Linked DNA regions of Lonchura striata. The protein of the gene in region 1 purifies or fractionates together with the protein of each later gene. This does not show direct contact. Links are inferred from orthologs where the notes say so. Each region holds a gene or a part of one and is shown on either strand. Other genes may lie near its edges.

Region 1 (9,034 bases):
ACCATGGCATTACAAGCAAGAGGAAGTTGATATCTGTTGGATGCATGTTAATTTGAAGAGGGATCAGTGGTTTTGTTGAGGAGATTACATAGGGTGAATGTAAACAGCAGCTGGCACAGATGGAGCAGACGTGGGAGTAGGCGGTAGGACAGACCACAGCGTTCTTCAGCACGATGGCAGCAAGCATGACCTGATGAAACAATGGCACATTTCCATGTAACTCAGCCCGGGGTCCTTGGAGAGGATTGTCTCCCTCATGCTTCAAGCAAACAACTCTGCAGGGTGTGATTAAGGTGCATTTCTGTATTGAATGTATTGGGAGCTCAGCTGTTCTCTCTCACTAGAGCATTGCTGCCTTATTAAATCAGCTCCTGTACCTTACTTGAACCTTTCAGGTGGTGCTGCTGTAAATCAGAGGGATGGGGTGTGAAGGCAGGACAGTAGTGATGCTATTCTCTTCATATCCTGTATCTGCCACAGAGAGCTTTGCTGTCCCCAGAGTTAGTGGCAAAATGTTTGAAGAGAGTATGGTCAAAAGACCAACTCCTCAAATCAAGGGTCAACCAAGAAACATTTGACTTTTATTGTATAAGTAAAACCATCTTTGTCCTCCCATTGCTGGTGGTGATAAACCAGAGGGTCTTTCAGAACTGGTATCACTGTTTTAATTCTGAGGTGAGAGGGCAGTTTACTGGATTACAGAGCTGTGGGCTCTCCACAGTGTTTAGTCATGACACAAAGCCCCTAGATTCACACACAGTCAGTATCAAACAGCACACTGCTTCTGCAGAGCAGGATTCATCTCAATTCAGAGCACTTATCTTTTGACTTGATGCGGTATTTCAGTCTGGATCGCTTAAGGTCAGTGTTATTGCATTGTAACTTCCTTTATTTCATCCTTTCCTTATATCTTGCATTCCTGCCCCAGGTTATTTTGCCACCTTAATTTGAGTTCCCATGGTAAATTTTTTTGTGGTTTTCCTTCAAATGCTCTATGCATCCCACTGGGAATTTATAATTTCACTGAGTATTTAACTGATGCACATGTATCACAAATATCAGTTTAGGTTATTTTCTTGAGTACCTTTCTTATATGGCTAACAGCTGTTAACACACGATACATTGTTAAGACATTCTAAGTAGAATTCCTCCTGGTGATTTTGATACATTGGCAGATACTACTTTAAGTTGAGAAAGGTTACAGTTGAAAAACACTGTCCTAATTTGTGGCCCTCAAGCAAGAACTGCAGTTGCTAGTTTTCATTTTCTCAAACCTTTGGGTTGCTCGGTGAATTTGCTGCTGTCTGAAACATTTTAACCCAGGAGACCTAGGGGGGGATCTGGACAAAAGTGTGTCAGACTGAAAGTTGCCAGACAGCGTGACCCTCCTTCTGCCATGGCAAAGCCAGCGAGAGGGAATATCTGCTCATCCACAAAATACTCTGAAATAGGCTCTAAGTGAGTCCCTTTTTTGTCTTCTGTTCTTTGTTCTCTGCAGGGATTCCAGGGCTTTGGGTTTGGTGATGGTGGCTTCCAGATGTCGTTTGGAATTGGGGCGTTTCCCTTTGGTATATTCGCAACAGCCTTCAACATAAACGACGGGCGACCTCCTCCAGGTACCACGGATCCTTCTCCTGCCCCATCACAGACAGACATTTTACAAACTCTTAAATAACCTGCTAAATGGCAAAATATTCTGAGCAGTAACCAGTGTTGTCAATAGAACCACTAAATGAGGGCAGAAACACTCTGTACAGAACGTGGTCTGTGGCTGGTATGTTTTGTACACAGACTTATAAAAGAGCAAGTTTGTCACTTCTATATAATTTGCTGAAGGCCCTCCTGGGAGACCAGTGACTGCAGAGAAACAGTGGCACTGGAGACTACTCTCCTCTAATTCAGATGTCTCCTCTGGTACACCAGCAGACTTCTCCTGAAAAATGTGACAAATTGGACTAGACTTTCTAATAATAATAAAAAGGAGTCACTAGGGGTGTATGAAGGAGACCCAGTTTTAAAAACAGCAGGAAAGTACCATTTCCTGAAAGATGAGAAGGAAAAATTTAAACTGGTGCTCTGTACCACCAAATTATAAATGCAAAGATTGTTCATTTTCCAGAAATTTATCTGAGACAGTCATCTGTATTCTACAAGAAGTAACTTTCCAGTGAAATTACTTCACGTTTTTGATTAAGAAAAAACAGTTGGATTATTCCAAGGGGTGACCTTGCTCTCTAACAATGAAGTAATCCCTAGAGAACCTCCTCCCTATCTTCACTGTAGACAGACTGAATCTGTTTTGAACAAGAATGCCTACTGCCCAGGATTTTGTGAACTTATTTTGTGAACTTATTTTGTGAAAGGTTATACCTGGCAAATCTTCCACCATGTCATATGGCACGGGAATTATGAGGAACAAACTCATTCTTCACATCACACCAGCGTTGCCATGGTCCTGTGCTGTCCTTAGGTCAAATTATTTTCCCTGTTAGCTATAGTTCAGTGTCCCCTGAAAATCTGCTGGGGGTGGGACTGAACTAAGGAATCCTGCTTCAAGATACTTGTCTTCCTTCTGATCTGCCCATACAGGCAGCCAGGCTGAGGGTAGAAAGTAGCAACTTTTCTCACCAAGCAAATCCTTTGCATATTTTTCAATGTATGAATATACTATATTCAGAATATACACAATCCGAGAGAAAAGGAAGGAGCTGAACTGTTTGTTTTTTTTACTTCCTGTTTTCCAGCTGTTCCAGGGACTCCTCAATATGTGGATGAGCAGTTCCTTTCCCGCCTCTTCCTGTTTGTGGCACTGGTGATAATGTTCTGGCTGTTGATTGCATAAATCTTTTCCATTATTATATATATTCATGACCAACAAGGCCACTGAAACAGTTACAAACTGCATCCCCATCCCATTTTAAACCTCTTGGTGTCTGGTTCCATAGCTACCTATGGGCTTCAGGAATTGGTGGTACCACAGCACAATGAGGAATCTCACATTTTGCACCAGAGTTGGTAATTAAAACATTGGTTTAAAAATGTATTTCAGCTCAGATATGTTGTACAACAGGTTCCTGCCACAAACCATGGGCCTAGCGTTGAGCTGCACTCCGAAAGGGAGTGCTGCTTTGAAATCCTGTGCCAATCAGTGACACCAGGTCTGTGGGATACACAGTTATCCCAGCGCAGACTGGGCAGGTAAGGAAACTTCTTCAGTGTCACCAGTATCTCCTGCTTTGCAACCACGATGGATCTGCCAGAGCTGCAGATGTTATTTAATGTCTCCATCAACATCTGACCTTCTCCAGGAAATCATCTGCAGCACTGCTGAGACTCTCTGGGGCACAGCACGTGATGCAAACGGAACCAGGCCTGGAGACTGGTTTCTTTTCCGCCTGTTATTTCCTGGTGTGATGGAAAACCCTTCCTGAATGGTTCTGATGGCTGTTAGAAGAAGGGATACATATTTATGCTGCAATTTTTTAAAGCCTAAGCATGCTGGAGCCATCCACTGGAAGATTCTCTGGCTGTGGAGCCAGGTGGGGCTGCTGGACCCAGCCCAGTTCCTCACTGACAAACAGTGTTGTCTTCCCCAGCTCTGTGCAGCACCTGTGGCTGCACCCGTGGATAATCCCCTCACAGCCTCGTCACTGTAGCAACATTTATCTTTCTCAAGGCTTTGAGACTTTCTACAGAAGGTCATGTACTCCAGATAAAATCCTATTACAGATCTGAGATCAGCTTGTTTGGGGAGAGGAACAAAAGGCATCTTTACATGAGTTTTGAGGTAAAACTTGTCATACTGTAAAATTATACAGGAGGAGACATGAGATCCTGCCTTTGCCAGCACATGCTCAGTAGGGAACATTTGGAAGACCTTCTCTCTGCAGATGCACGCAGACCTTCTCCCGTGCCACAGCAGAACTACAGCGCAAGAGTCTCTGCAGCTAAAATCTACCAAAGATTTTAATTTGAAGTGCTGGAGGAGACCACAACCATTAATGTGCTGAGGGGATATTTCAGAAGGTGAGCAATCTGCAGCCGCTTTGGGATCCTGTTGGGTATCCAGCTTTAAAGAGTACTCCTGATGTATTTGTGTAGATTCCTTCAAAACAGGTATGAGAAAGTCCCTAGCAAGATGAACAGTTCATATTTCTCTGACTAGGCAATTCCATTTTTTTTCCTCTTACTGTCTATAGATTTTTTTGATTCCGGCCACTCATAGTCATAATGATTTCCTGCAAGATGAATGTTGTGACTTCCCTGGCAGTAGACAGAAAAACTGAAAAGCAAATCAATTAATAGAAACTTCATTTCAATATCTTGGGATTTTTTTAGCATATGGAAGTGTTTCCTGGGCAGGACACCTTTAATTAATTGTTATAGAAGTTTATTTATGTAATTATAAACTGTTTCCTTTTAGTGTCAAGGCAGAGTATGACTGAAGTTTAACTTGCCTACCTCCAAAATTCCATCTGGCAAGTAGAATGTTGCAAAGCTTCTGCAGTGTTTTGTCACGTCAGATTTATACCTGACTTAATGATAATCTGATAGAATATATTGCTCAACTATTTATAGTTGAGGTGGTGCTTCAGCTTTTGTTGTGTGACACTTCTGAGTAGCTGAACTTTGGCATAGGGTTCTTCTCAAGTGTGTAACTTGGTAACTGGGGCCCTTCCCAGGAGGAAAGGCTGTTTTGTTTGGTTGTCCTACAATGTCGCAGCTTTGGCTTCCTCTCCTGCGCAGTCAGCACCACCTGCTGATGGGAAGGGAAGGTTTGTGTGACAGTAAGAGATGGATTCCTTCTCCTTTTGTACGGAGAAACTCGATGCTGAGAGGTTATGCAGGAAGGAGAAGCCTTTATCCCGTAAAGAGGATAGAGAAGTGACTGCAATAGATTCAAGAGGTACTGAAATATATTTAATTAATACATTTTAAAAACCAGAATTTTAATGGATTGGGGATGGGGAATTTCCATCTAGGAGTGAGAGAGATAATGGATTTAGAGAAGGCTGCAGAAGCATGACCGAGAGCTCTTATTTTCCGGCAATTCAAGGATGAAATAGTCTAAAAGTGTTAACGCTTGGTTCCCCCTTTCCCTGGTGTGCTTTTGTATGTACCCCTTCCCGTAACCTGACCGCACACGGCCCGGACGGCTCGGTTAGTGCGTTACCGTTGCTCCTCACTAATTTTCACTGTTGTGAAAGTGATTTAGAATTAAAAAATGGTTTTACATTGAGCGGAGTGCGCCGCCGTTCCTTTGCGCTGCCTCGGGGGCGGGAGCGGGGCCGCGCCCGCCGGGCACGTGCGGGGCGGGGCTGCGGGCGGGCGGCGCCGCCATTGGCCGCCGGCGCGGAAAGGGCGGGGCGGGCGGGGCGGGGCAGCGCGGGGATTGGCCGGGGCGCGGAGAGGGCGCCGCCGATTGGTCGGGGGCGGGCGCGGCGCCGCGCAGAGGCGGGCCCAGGTGCGGCGGCGGCCGCTGGCGTCGGGCGCGGCGGGCGCGGGATGGAGGCGCTGCCAGGTGAGCTCGGGCCGGGCCGGCCGCGCCTCCGCGGGAGGAGCCGCGCTCCGCCGCCGCGGGGCGGCCGCCGCTGCATCGGCGGGGGCGCGGGGCTCGACGGGGCCGCTGCCTCCGGAGCCGGCCGGACGTCAGCCCTGGCTGGGGAGCGTTCTGGGGCCGGCCCGCGGCTCCCTCCGGCCGGTGGCACCGCCGGTTCCCGGGGGTTCCCGGCGGGTCTCCGGGGCACTGAGATCCGCAGGACGGCCGTGGGAGACGCGGCGCGTCCCCCCCGGGGCGGCCGGAGCCGGCCGGGTCGTGCAGCGCCGGTGCCGCGGGGCCGCCGGTGCCGCGGGGCCGCCGGTGCCGCGGGGCCGCCGGTGCCGCGGGGCCGCCGGTGCCGCGGGGCCGCCGGTGCCGCGGGGCCGCCGGTGCCGCTCAGCCCGTCCCCGTTGTCCCGCTCGGTGTCCGCCGGGGCCACGGCGGCTGCTCCTCGCTGGCCGTCTCTGACACATTCCTCCCGTCTGGGAAACTCGACAGACCTGTTACATGGATTATGTCCGTTTGCGTTTCCTTCGCACTGTTTCCTGCTCTGTTTTCTTCATTTCCGTCGTTTCTCCTGCATACTGAAGCAATTTCTGTTGGATTGAGGACTGTTCGTTTCCCTTTGTGAGCTAATCAGCCTTCCTGGGTACACTTAAAGAGATGTAGCACTGCAGCTGAGAGTAGGTGTAGTTTCTTCGTGGAGTTCCGAAGCCGATGGGTCAGATTCTGTAAGATGGTCGGGGAATAATTTGTTGCTTCTGGTCAGCTATGGTGTAATAGTTGATCTTTAAATATCTTTAGTAGGATCCACAGACAGTTTTTACACGTGTGTGTTGTGCTGGTGACACTGAATGGGAGGGGATGGAGCTGCAGAATGTTTGGTTTGCAGGTAGTTTTGGCCTGCAGCTATTTCAGAAATTCAGCTGACTTCCAGGGCTTGCCCTGCTTGGAGAGGAGAGCGTTGGCTGCCTGTGCATGGAGGCACAGGCACACGGAGCTTTGCCTTTTATTCCCAAGCCCGTTTGGTGCACTGAAAAGCCATTTCCTTTATGGGACAACATGGATAGGATCAGGTTTTTCCAAGGTTCTCCCAGCCTTTACTCTACTGTGCAGGTGTGAGCTCAGGTGCAGTTCTTGGTGTTCTGGATTAGCAGAAGGGCACAGGGGCAGGTGATCCAGGTGTGGTGCTGATGCACACTTAGGGACTGAAGTAGCAGTCACATTTGAAGGAACCCTTTGAGCCTTACATCTTTATGGAGACCTTCCTGGGTACTGCTGCTCTGCTGGTGATAGTGGTGCTTGTAGCTGAGCAGCAAATGTTTTTTTTCCCTGAAATAGCTATTTATGTAAAAAGTGCAAGATCTTCACCCTAGTTAATTTTAAACATTGTCATTGACCTAGACGGTGGGGTAAAGGTGCATGGAAAGTTGATGGCTTCTGTTTTGTGTAGCTTCAGGGAATTTAACAGTGGTATGAACTTGCCTAAGCAACTACCAAGTTGTACCATTCTTTGGAAAAGGGAAGTCCGTGGTTTGTGGTTTGCTTTTCTAAGTGCACCTTTTTCTTTAATGCTGCCTTGCTACAAGGAAACTGTTAGTAGCAGGAAGAAACAGGTTTGGGATCTTTTCAGCTCTCTGACACATTTCTTGTGCCATCCTGTGCTGAACTAAGATTCTTGACTCTTTAATATGCCTGCACTGCCCTTGGGATTTTGGATACCATTTATCTGTGTGCCAAATGTTCTTTGTGCACAAGCTTTCATTCTGTTTTTCTAGCTTGCTTGCATCTAAGTAACCAGCTCTCTCTGGGGCTTTCTGGCAGTTCTAGCAAAAACTATTATAGCTCTATTATAACTTTTATAAGTATTTTCTGAAAGGGCAATAGGCCAGTAGCATAACTCCCCCTTTCTAAGTCTGATGGGTAGTCTGATGTTGGCTGTACAGTCTCTATGGGATTATTCATTCAAGAGTGTAATTCCTTCCTGGTAGTCTACTTGTTCTCTACTGAAAGAAGTTTGTCTTTCCTTTCTTTCAGTTCTGGGAAATCCAGTTAATTCTACAAATGCGAGCAAATGTTTTGTGCTGAGTCAGTGGTGTGGGGGAAGCAGTAGCGTGTCTTCCTGGCCTAGCATGGTTCTCTGTTGGAATTGTTGTACTAGACCAGTGTTGCCTTCCTGAAATCTCTGCTCTGACAGAGCTGTAACTGAGCTGTTTTATGTGAAAAGTCATAGTCTTCTTTTCTGCAGAATGTGAAGAAAGAGATGTCATGTCTGGGGAAAAAAATATACAAGATATCAGAGTTTGATTTGGGAGTTCCCACTCTGGGGTTATAGACTTCCTGCAGCTTTCCATGTGGGAAGGCTTTCCTGTCAGTTACTTAAGATTGTTCTTTATGAAAGATGTACCAATCTTTGTTTTCTCTGGTGTAAACTGGTTGCTGTTTGTCCCCTTATTGCTGCGTGCAGGTGAAGAAGTCTGGAGATGCCTGGGATGTGGGGACAGCATTGCTGCTGGGCAGCGCCTCCACAAGACTGTCAATGAAGCTTGGCACATCTCCTGTTTCCGGTAGGTGAAGCTTCAGCCTTTAAACCCTCCTTGTGTTGTTCCACTGCCTGGGAGCTGGTGGTGAAGTACCAGCATGAGCTGGGAATTCCTACAGTGATCTCTGTGCCTGACCTGTTCCGAGCTCGTTTGTGCTGTACCCCAGGGACAGCATCCAGTCCTGAGAGCAGCTGACACTGCCTGGCAGCACGGCTGCGCTGACGCAAACGGGATACAGATAAAGTGCAAATAAAAGCTCTGATTTACTGGTGGTGGCAGAAGCCATGGCTTACATGTTTGTCTTCTGCAGCATTCCAAAGTAGTGCCCAGGCAATTTGCACAGCCTGTTACTTTTTCATTGTGTGGTAGGTGCAAGGGTGTTATCAGGGTGCTGATAGAGAGGAGGGAAGAGACAGAGATCTTGCCTTTTGCTTTCTCTCCTTTGCAGACTCTTAAGACAAATTTATGAAATCTGTTAGATAATGTTGCTGTCTGCAAGGACAAAAAGGAATATCTGCTGTGCTTTTTCGTGGTGGTAGGAGTAATACCATTTTGGTTTTCCATGAATATTCAGTCCAGTTTTCATGCTCCAGAATCACATTTCTGAAGGGGTCTGTATTTTTGAAAGAGGTTGAGTACCTCCAGCTTCTACTGGCTTCTCTGTTGGTTTGAATATGGGGAGGCTAATGTTTCGTTATTGTTAAAGAAAGTGGGGAGAAAAGGAAGCCAAAGTGTGGCTTTGGAGGAATGTTTTTTGTGCCAAAATAAGCATCTATTGTCCTCGTTTAAAGAACAGAAAAAAAAAGAAGCCAACAAAATACCCCAACTTTGTTGAAGGTTGATTGTGGTTATTGGTATATTTAAAAAAAATAAAGCATCTCATGCTGCCAAAGCAATGCAGGCTCAGTTCACTCAGAAAATGCTGTTTTAGTGACACATTAATAATCACAAT
Region 2 (10,058 bases), on another chromosome or scaffold:
TATTCTGCTTCTTTGTGCAGAGAAGATTTTTTAGGGTATCCCTGCTGTCTCCCTGGAAGGAATTCCTGCTGTTTAACATTAAAAAATCTCCCTGTATGGAACTCTTGAAATGTAATTAGAGAAAACACACAATCCCTCCCTGGCTCCCTCCCTCTGAGCTCTCAGCAGCCTCTGCACAGGTGAGTGTTTTACTCTGAGCTGCTGGAATCTGAAACACCCAGAGCCTGGCCCAGGATCTGCCTCTGCATCTCCAGAATAAATGAGGTTTTTCCTACAGCCTGGAGAACATCACTCCACAGAGCCTGTTTATTCCAGCTGCTGAACACAGCAGTGGGTTTTGGTAACAAAAACCCCAACCCAAGGAGGTGGAGCTCCATAAATCTGACTGGAGCAGGGCTCACATCCAGCTCTCCTTGTGCCCTGAGCCCACAGTTTATGGCTGCTGCTGCAGCACCAGTCCCTGGGGAGTTTTTGTGATTTAGACAAGCAGCCAAATCAAATCCATCTCCCCAGGTGCCAGCACCAGGCTGCTGTTTGATGTCTGCTTTAACCAGCACTGCCCTGGATCTAAAATCCCAGCTTGATTTCCCTGTGAACCCCCACCCTCAGTGCTCCACTCCGCTGAGGTTGTGCCAGCACAGGCCCACAAGGACCCAGCCAGGACTGCTGAGAGCCTGCTCCCCACCTCAGCAGCCAAAAAACACTTCTGAGTGTTTCTGTCCCATTTGCTGCAGCTGCAAGAAAAAATCAAGAAAAAAAACCCACACTGCCCTCCTAAAAAAAAAAAACAAAAAACAAAAAACAAACAAACAAACCCAAAAAACCAACCCTTTTGAGTCACTGGAAGAAGGCTTAAAAGGTTTTAAAAGTTCTGAGTAAATGAATGTACAGCACTGTTTTCAGACTGGGACTGCAGGACTTTTCCTTAAGAGCTGCAGGATTTAACAGAATCTTTTATGATCAGAATATACAGAATGTTTCACTTTGAATAATAAATTAATGGCCATCAGTAGCAAGTACAAGGAGTAGAGTTGGAGCAGCAATTGAAGAGTGACCTGTCCAGGGGCAGATCATGGAAGGGGCCACACCAGGGGCTGTCCCAACTGTCTGAGCTCCTGGTTCTGCTCTGCATTCAGAGTTCTGCAGCTAGGGGAAAAAAACTACATTTGAAAACCTGCAAAATTCAGAAACCTCTCTGTGGAACATAAAAAACTGCTGATGCACTACTTGTGGTGCTGGTGAGAGACAGAATCCCTCCGTTTGGGTAGCTGAAATCACAAACCACTCTGAAGGGCAGAATTGCTCAACACCACTGGAAATAAACCTGCAGAAAGATGAGAGCTGCAGCTGCCTCCAGCCTTTCTCTGAGGAAACCTTCCCACTTTGAGGCAGTTGCTGTTTTGCACTCCCATAGCCCCTTTCAGTGGAGTTCCACAAAGCTGAGTGCCAAGATCCAACATTCCCAATTATTTTGGTCATTTGACAGCAGGCAAAGATCCATGTGCAAAATGAGATGATTATCTAAAAATACACCAAACCAAGAGCAGCAGGAAAATGAACACAGCCAATTGCCAGGCTTGCTGCTCTTTTCAGAGTTCAGTTCCAGAACAATTTCCCCCCAGTTTTCAGCAGTTTTTCTCTAAAGCTCTCAAGTCCCAGGCTGGTGCAGCAGCCCCAGTGTGACTCATGATGGCAGTGCTCCTCATTGGACACAAATAAACACAAGGAGAAAAAAAGGGACTGTTCACTCAGACTGGAAAAAACCCAAGGGCAATCAAATGATTTTTGTGTGTGAGGTCAAGGAAGGATTTTGCCCTCTGCTCAGCACCTGAGAGACGCATTTGGAGAATGCCCTGTTCTGAGCAAAAACCCCCAAATCAAACAAACTCCTTCCTACACCAGCAACAACAAGACTGACTTCTCAGAGGGAGTCCAGGATGCTCAGGGCTCTGCAGTAAAGGAAATTCTAACTTAACAGAAGTTTCCAGGATAATTAAACAGCAGCACAGGGAGCCAGAGGGGCTGTGCCAGAGATCCCCCTGGCCCTGGGCAGGGGCTTGCACTAAAATCCTCCAAAGGATGCACCAGAACACCTCCTGACATTGGCAGTCCCTGTCCTTCACTATTGAATCACAACTGGCAGTATCATTCTGCCCACTTAAGAGCCCAAACTGAGACACAGAGATCCAAAGGGATTCTCACCAGCTCCAGCAGAGACCAGAAGTACTTTTAGTGTCACTCCTACTCCAAGGAGACTCTACCTCATGTTGTCCTTCCCCAGTATTGCTTTTCCACCTCAAGGAACTTCTATATTCACACAAAGATTGGTTCTACAGGTGAAAAACTGCATTTGTCTCTTCCCTGCTGCAGGAGGAGTTTGTCCAATGTGACAACAGTGAAAGCAAACAATCCCACACATTTAATGTGCTTGTGTTTGATTAAAGCCCAAATAATCCACAGGGCTCTATTTAAATTGAATCCCAACTCTCTGGATTCCCACAAGCAACATTTCAGGGAAACCATCCTGAAATCTGCTGGGTTTTGGAGAAGCACCTTGCAGGCACTCAGGGGAAAGCAAAGGATGCACAGACAGGAAGAGGGAGAGTTTCCCAGCAGGAACAGGGAGGGTTTTGTGGCTGGAATCTCTGAGCCACAGCCACCTCACCCACTGCTCAAGGCACACAGAATCTGCCCTGGAATGCGAGGAGAAAGAGCAGCAAGGAAAGAGGGAATTTAGAACAGTAAAACCAGACACTCAAGGGCTTTAGAGGTGCCTCTGTGTCAGCCCCAGACCTCTCCAAGCACTGACTGCACACAGATCACTGCACACCTGCACACAAATCATCTCACACCTGCACTGCACACAAATCACTGCACACAGATCATTGCACACAGATCACTGCACACCTGCACAGAGTATCTCACACCTGCACTGACTGCACACAGATCATTGCACACCTGCACACAGATCACTGCACACAGATCATCTCACACCTGCACTGCACACAGATCATTGCACACCAGCACTGTGCTCTGCATTACCTGTTTCTCCTCCTCTGGCATATCTTTCTCTAGTTCTAGCAAGTATTCTTCATCTAGCTCTGTCTGCTTCCTGCAGCTACTCCCGTCATCCTGAACGTTCCCTTCAGCATCCAGCACAGCTCCTTTGGCCTCAAAGGAGTCGTGGCAGTCATGGAAACACTCCTCTGTGGGATCCTGGCTCTGGGGCTGCTGGGCATCGCTGGGGCCAGGCTCTGGAGCCTTCTGATCTGACAGCTTCAGGTGATTCAGTGACTCCTCAGGTGGGCTTGCATCTTTAAATGCTTCCATGCTGGACTCCTGGGAGGGGGTTGTGGAGATGAGAAAGGAGTGACACGCAATGATCAGCATTAATAGACCCATCAGCAAACAAATCCCAGCACCCTGGGGGGGAGGCTGGAGGGGAGCAGTGGGGCCACCTCCTGCATTCCCAAGCACAGGGCACAGGAGTGTGTCCAGGCAGCTCTGAACACCCCTGGGAGGAGACCCCAGCCCCTCTCTGGGCTCTGCCCAGGGCTGGCACTGCCCGGGGCAGGAGTTCTGCCTCCCGGGCAGGGCAGCTGCTGGCCCAGGAACAGAGCCTGGCCCTGCTCTGCCCCCTCCCTTGTATATTTATACACATCCATATGTGGCTAATAATCTACTTTCTCTTATCCACATTTAAAAATCCTTAAAGTGCTCCAAAGTGCTCTTGACATCCCTAAGGGAAACTCAGATATCAGATCCTTAAGGGATCCCTAAAGGAAGCTCGGATCTCTCGGGGCCCTGCAGAGACACGGGGCCGGGACACTGCGCCCGTGAGCGCGGGAACTGCCGGGCTCAGCTCCCGGGGCCAGCCCGGCACAGCCCCGCGGGCCCGGCCCACGCGCCGCTCCCGGCACGGCTCACCCGGCGCGGCCCCTCCAGCCCCACCACGACCCCCGGGGCGCCGTGCCCGGCTCGCAGGGCCTGGAGCGGAGGGGACGGTGCAGACCGGGGCCAGAGCAGATCGGGGCCATCGCCCCCGGCTCCCCCGGGCCCCGGGCCCGCACTCACCTGCGCCAGCTGCACTTCCGGCTTCCGGCTTCCGCCACGCCCCCGGCGCGGCAGCGCCGCTTCCGGCAGCGGCAGCCAGTGAGCCAGGGGGCGCGCGCGGGGCATGCCGGGGACTGTAGTTCTCTGATGTGAGGGCAGGGAGCGCAGGTGAGAACAGGTGAGGGAGGGCAGGGGAAGGCAGCTGGAGGCAGAGGAGGGCAGCTGAGAACAGGCAAGACTGCGTGAGTGCAGGTGAGGGCAGTGAGACCAGGTGAGGGCAGGTGAGGGCAGTGAGGGCAGGTGAGGGCAGGTGAGGGCAGGTGAGGCAGATGCCTCATTCTGCCCGTGGCCTCTTTCTCCCCAGGGCCACACTGGTGTAAATCCTCTCTCTCCATGACTCCTGCAGCTCCTTCAGGCACTGTGAGGCCACGCTGAGGGCGCCCCAAAGGCTCTCCTGCCCAGGTGAGCGCTCCCAGCGGTGCCAGCCCTTCCTCCCAGCAGAGCTGCTGCATCCCCTGCTCGGGCCGGCAGGTGGGCTCACACCTGAGGGGCACGATCCAAACCCTCCCTGCTGCCCGCGCTGGGGGATCAGCCCAGGGGCTGGGGGTTCCTGTTCCCGTGTCCAGCGCTCCCTCTCCACCTGTGCATCCCCAGCCTGCGCTGGTCCCTGATCCAGCCCCGGCTCTTGGCCCTGTCCAACCCCATGGACCTGCTTCTCCCCATGAATACTTCATGTTCATACAGCTCAGGAATATTCGGGTTTTCCCCTGGAACTTTGGGATGACGCTCCTCTTGCTCAGCCTCACACCCCAACTCTGGTTTCATACAACATTAAAGTGTTGAAATATTCCAAATCTGAGTCCAGAAGGAGGCTTGACCTGTGCCAGGGGGATGGAACACAGATCATTGTGGATGCAAACAGCCACAGACTCGTGAGGTTTTGCACTTGACTTGTTCTCTAGAAATTCCTAAATCCTGCTGCCTGCAGCAGAAGACTCAACACGATGCCCGTGAGCCAGGTGCAATTCGAGTTGATAAAACCCAGCGATCTGGAAAGCACCCTCTCATTATTTATTACAATTACTGACCGCAGGGTATCCAACTCCCCCGCTGCCCTAGGCCGGATTAGTGTCGTGTAAAACCCAGGGAATCCAGCGGATCGGGGGATTTGTGCCTCTCCCCGCCACAGAAACCCCATAGGTGGCGATGTTGGATTTTCCAAGCCAGGTCCCCGCTCCTTTCCGTGCCAAACTGGTCCCGTTTGGTGCCAGCAGGGCTGGAGCTCCCCGCGTCCAGCAGAGCAGGGCTGGACTCTCAGCCGCCCAGGACAGGGGACAAATGTTGCACAACTACCTCAGGCTCCGGGCCACACGTTACATTTACTTCTCTGGACAGCTTTTTTTGATCTTCGCAGTGAAGAAACCAAAGCTCAACAAATCAAGCAAAGGGAAAAATAATTGATGTTTTCTGGAGGTCACAGAAAGTTCAGGTTCTTCACCAGAATTAAACATTTGCACACAAGTCTCAGTGGAATCGAATGATTGTGCTTCCCAAAGAACGTTTTGAAAGGAAATTGTGAAATAGGCAATTAAAAGCTTTTTAATCACAGCTATAAATTAAAATTTTACTACATCCGCTTTTTAGGCTGACTTATTAGAGAAACAGTGATGGATTCTTATGAATTTTGAATATCCATTCTCTTTTTCTCTATGTCTTGGCTGGAATGCTGTAAAGATTATGGGAGTTGCTAGACAGGGAGCATGTTCTTCACAGCTCAATGTGTTTTGTTGTAGGAGATTCCCAGTAACAGTCCCAGACTTCCTTTCCCTGTCTCCTTCCACTTGTGTGGCAGTGGAATTTTGGCTACTCTGGGAAAAAGCCAGGTCATAGCTCACAACTGAGTAAAAATGAAATGTAATTTTCTGCTTTAAGTAGGCAGGAGAGTAGAGGGGTGCAGGGGGAGCTGTCCCTGTCAGAGCCCTGTTTTCTCCCCAGGGACACTTGATTTATCCCCTCAGTTTAGTTCCAACCCAAGCAGGCAAACCTGTTGTCCCGGGATCATTAAATCTGATGGTGGAGCTGCAACTTTTCAGTCCCCAAAAAATCAGAGTGGGTGCAAACATTTCAGGCTTCCACCGACATAAACCCAGCATGGCGTGTGCTGTCAGGTGTTTCTTTCTGCCTCCCCAGGTGCAGGTGGTGTTTGTGTGATGCTCCAGCCCTGAGCTCTGTGTCCTGCCCTTTGGAATGTGGGAGCCAGAGAGCAGCTGGGGAGAAGGTGAGTAACTCTCCTGTGGAGTGAGTCAAGCCAGAATCCAGAGCGTTCCCAGGGGGATGAGCTGGTCAGTGTGTGGGATAAGGAACACCGGGTGTGAGCACACCAATAATTCCATCCCATAATTGCTGTGATCATCTCCTGTGCCAAGCAATTTTCTCCTCATTTTTCTGAGGTGAAAGTCAAGCACACAAATCCAGAGCACAGAGCTCAGCTGCTGAATAGAAAGTTATTATTTTGACATTTTCCAGACTGGAACTGTACTTTGTAATACCAATGTCCTCTCCTCTCCACGCCACATTTGTAAAGATAATGGGAAGCTGCACTTCCAAAGAGCAAAGCATGCAGGATGCTCTCCAGCTCCAGCCTCATTCAGCTGGATTGGTTTTAGCATAACTCTTCTCACAAATAAGCAACACATTGAGAGCTGAGTGCACTGAAGCCTAATGGGTTTAATTTCTGTACAGCTGTGCTGTGACAAAGCTCCCCGAGCCATTCCAGCTGTGCCTCTCCACTGAGTGGCTCTGGAGCAGCCCCTCCTTAGGGATGAAGCTACACATGGCAGCTTAACCTGGGGAAATTCAGTGTTTTATGAACACCTTTGGTGCTAAATTGCAGCGATTCATTTAGAGAGGCAAATCTGTTTGCCCACAGAATGGATTCATCAGAAAGTTTGTGAATGAGCATAAAAAAGATACCACCACGTGCCACTGCCACTGCAAGTTCTGCTTGGCAAATTCATTTTGGCTGTAATAAAAAATGGGTTTGTCCCACATGATTGTGCTCTGGCCCAAATAGCTTTTCCTTTAAAGGAAAACATTGCATCAGAAGAAGGACTAACATAAGGAAGAGGGTGATTTGTACAGCCTCCTATGTCTGGCTTTGCCTGGTGGAGGTTGTAAAAGATTCCAGTGGGAAAAATGAAGGTATTCAGAAGAGATCTCATCTGGACAAGTCAGGTGGCCTTGCTAAAGTTCCATATTTTAAAATGGCATATCGGACTTTGTCCTCTGTAATCTTTGTAGTCCTTCCTTCAGATCCATGTGTTTTTCCACAATTTTCAAACTGACAAAGAGATCCTGGTGATGGAACTCCTGTAACTAATTCCTGATGGAAGAATTATGTGTGTTGGTGATGAGAGAAGCAACAGTGTCCCACGAGCCACAATGGCAAATCCATTGGCCATGAGTATTTTATTTTGTAGTGAGAATCCTGAGGAGGAATCGTGGCTGAATTCCAGCCCTACAATAACAGGAGTAAGTGTTTCAATTGTTGAGAAATTACTTTAATCATTGTTTTCCATCTCTAAAGTGCGAGTGTACAGCGATGTATGGAACAATTGGGAATTATGGGCAGAGCCAGGGACAACCTGGAGAGCAATGACCTCGGTGCATTCCTCATTGCTCCATCCATCCATCCATCCATCCATCCATCCATCCATCCATCCACCATCCATCCATCCATCCATCCATCCATCCATCCATCCATCCATCCATCCATCCATCCATCCATCCATCCATCCCTGGCACAGCTGGGCACCCCCACCCCTGCCCACCCCATGCCACCCTGTGTCCCTGCAGGTGTGTGTGTCTGTCCAGCTCTCCCAGGACACCTGCGGGGTCCGTGCGCCCCTCGCAGGGCGTGTGCAGGACCCTCGCTGCCCTCTGCTCCCGCTCCCGCAGCTTCTCCGGGAATCGCGGGGAGCACGGGCGGTCAGTCCCTGCCCTGGGCACTGCTGCGCCATGGAGCCCCCGTCCCTCCTGCTCCCTTCCCGAGCTCCCGGAGGAGCTCCGTGCGCTCCCGCGGGGCTGGCGCGGTGCAGGGCGGTGTCCGGCGGGCACGGGGCGCTCGGAGCCGCCCGTTCAGCGGGGCTCGCCCGCGGGCAGCGCTGCCGCTCAGGGCGTGCCCGGGGGCTCGTGGCCCGAGCCGCGGGGGCCGTGCCCGTTGCGCTCGGGCAGGAGCTGGAAGGTGAAGAGCTGGCAGTGGCCCTGCTGCCCGCCGCCCTCCCGGGCCGGGCTGAGCAGGGAGCTGCAGTTCCTGCACTCGTGCAGCGTGCACAGCTCCAGCTGCGGCTGGCTGATCCTGCTCACGTAGCCGGGGCTGGGCGATGCCGAGGATAAAGTCCTCTGGCTGCCGCTCAGGAAGCTGCCGCTGTCTTCCAGGGAATCCCTCCGGGCGTGTTCCAGGGAGCAGCGGTTCCAGTTTCTGTAGCTGTAGGGCCACCAGCCCAGCTGCTTGCGCCGGTGGCACTGGCATCTCAGGATCTGGATGAAAGCCCTCTTGAACTCCTTGCTGGAGCAGGGGTAGATGATGGGATTCAAGCAACTGTTGAAGTAGCCAAGCCAAAAAATCACCTTGAAGATCGTTTCAGGGGGCTTCAGAGCCGAAAACAGGGATCCTGTCCAGGGAAAACAAGCAGAGAATATCTGAGATAAGGGACTTGTCTGCCTTTAGGAAGGGAACACGTTCATCAGATCACTGTTACAATCTGTGTCTTAAAACTTTTATGCATGTTGCTTTCAGTGTTGGTCTTCTGGTACTAAAATGTTATTTTTAAAGCTAATAAGGAAATGTTTCCCATCAGAAGGCTGAAGGAGCAAATAACTGATGAAGGATTAAAAAATAAGAAGCAGTCATTTTGGTTCTAGGCCCACACCTACTGCAGGAACATCTGATCCCAGGGACAGATCAAATCTCCCTTGTTCAGGCTGTTGCACGAGGAACACAAGGAGTAAGGCTGTGCCTTCCTCAAAGAGCTTTCAAAGGTCATTTTTAAAGAAAAGTGTTCCCAGAACCCCCAAAAAGAGCATTTACAGAGACACCTTAAAACTTCTAATACATCCTCTGGCAGCTCCTGAATGCCCCTCCATTTACCCAGATTACTGTGAGAGTACAAACCTCCCGAAACCTGAAGTTAATTGGGGAACTTCCCACATCTCAGGCATTCACAAAAATGGTGTGACCCAAACCAAGAGGTCATTCTGTGAATACTTCCCCTTCCCTTCACAACCAAACTATTTCCCTAAGGAGGCTGCCCAAATGAAAAACTCACACTGGGGCATCCACTTCCTGTGCTTTCAGTGGTAATTGATCAGCTAAATTTAGCAAATGGGGCTGGAGAAAAGAGTGTATGAGATTTTTATGGCAAGCAGAGCTGGATCTGTTATCCATCTGGGAAAACACCTCTGTGACCAAGGAGTGGGGATCCAACTCTGTGACCAAAGAGAGAATTCTTTTATCAAGAACTGGAGTTAGGTTTGCAGAGTGTTTCAAATGGAAGCTGTCAGCCCAGTCTGGCTGGGAAGGAACCTTTTCCTCTGGTGTGGTTTCGGATTTGCTGGGCTGTGAAAGCAGCTGAGTCAGTGGTGGCTGTCAGGAGGGGCGGGATGTGATTCTGGGCACCGTTCCCATCTCACAGCAACGCAGAGGTCATGCCTGGGGCCTCAAAACTATGCAAGAGCACTTCCTCTGCTCCTGGGTAACAGCTCTGGGGTGCCAGCACAGCCAGCACAGCGTGTGTGGGGCCAGGGCTGGGCTGCACGCCCTGCACGGAGGGTCCTGTGCAGCCAGATCCCAGATTTCATCTGGCAGAGTTTGGGAATGGTGCCAGGGCTGGGCTGCACTCTCTGCATGAAGGGTCCTGTGCAGGCAGAATCCCAGATTTCATCTGGCAGAGTTTGGGAATGGTGCCAGGGCTGGGCTGCACTCTCTGCACGGAGGGTCCTGTGCA

What was found.
Region 2: the proteins of LIMK2 (region 1) and TTC1 purify together in Homo sapiens (affinity purification with mass spectrometry; 3 studies listed by BioGRID and IntAct, counting the BioPlex papers as one, with this or other methods). This does not show direct contact. The link is inferred for Lonchura striata from reciprocal best matches to the Homo sapiens genes LIMK2 and TTC1.

What each region holds. Positions count from the first base shown.
Region 1 is NC_134620.1:4,577,480-4,586,513, reverse strand, and holds the start of LIMK2 (LIM domain kinase 2), read left to right. Parts: upstream 1-5,458; 5' UTR 5,459-5,505; coding exon 5,506-5,521; intron 5,522-8,006; coding exon 8,007-8,106; intron 8,107-9,034. Other genes in the region: E3 ubiquitin-protein ligase RNF185, read left to right, coding at 1,499-1,616, 2,745-2,842. UniProt on the Homo sapiens protein: Serine/threonine-protein kinase that plays an essential role in the regulation of actin filament dynamics. Acts downstream of several Rho family GTPase signal transduction pathways.
Region 2 is NC_134617.1:1,327,810-1,337,867, forward strand, and holds the start of TTC1 (tetratricopeptide repeat protein 1), read right to left. Parts: upstream 4,117-10,058; 5' UTR 4,075-4,116; intron 3,340-4,074; 5' UTR 3,331-3,339; coding exon 3,043-3,330; intron 1-3,042. Other genes in the region: ADRA1B (alpha-1B adrenergic receptor), read right to left, coding at 8,224-8,726.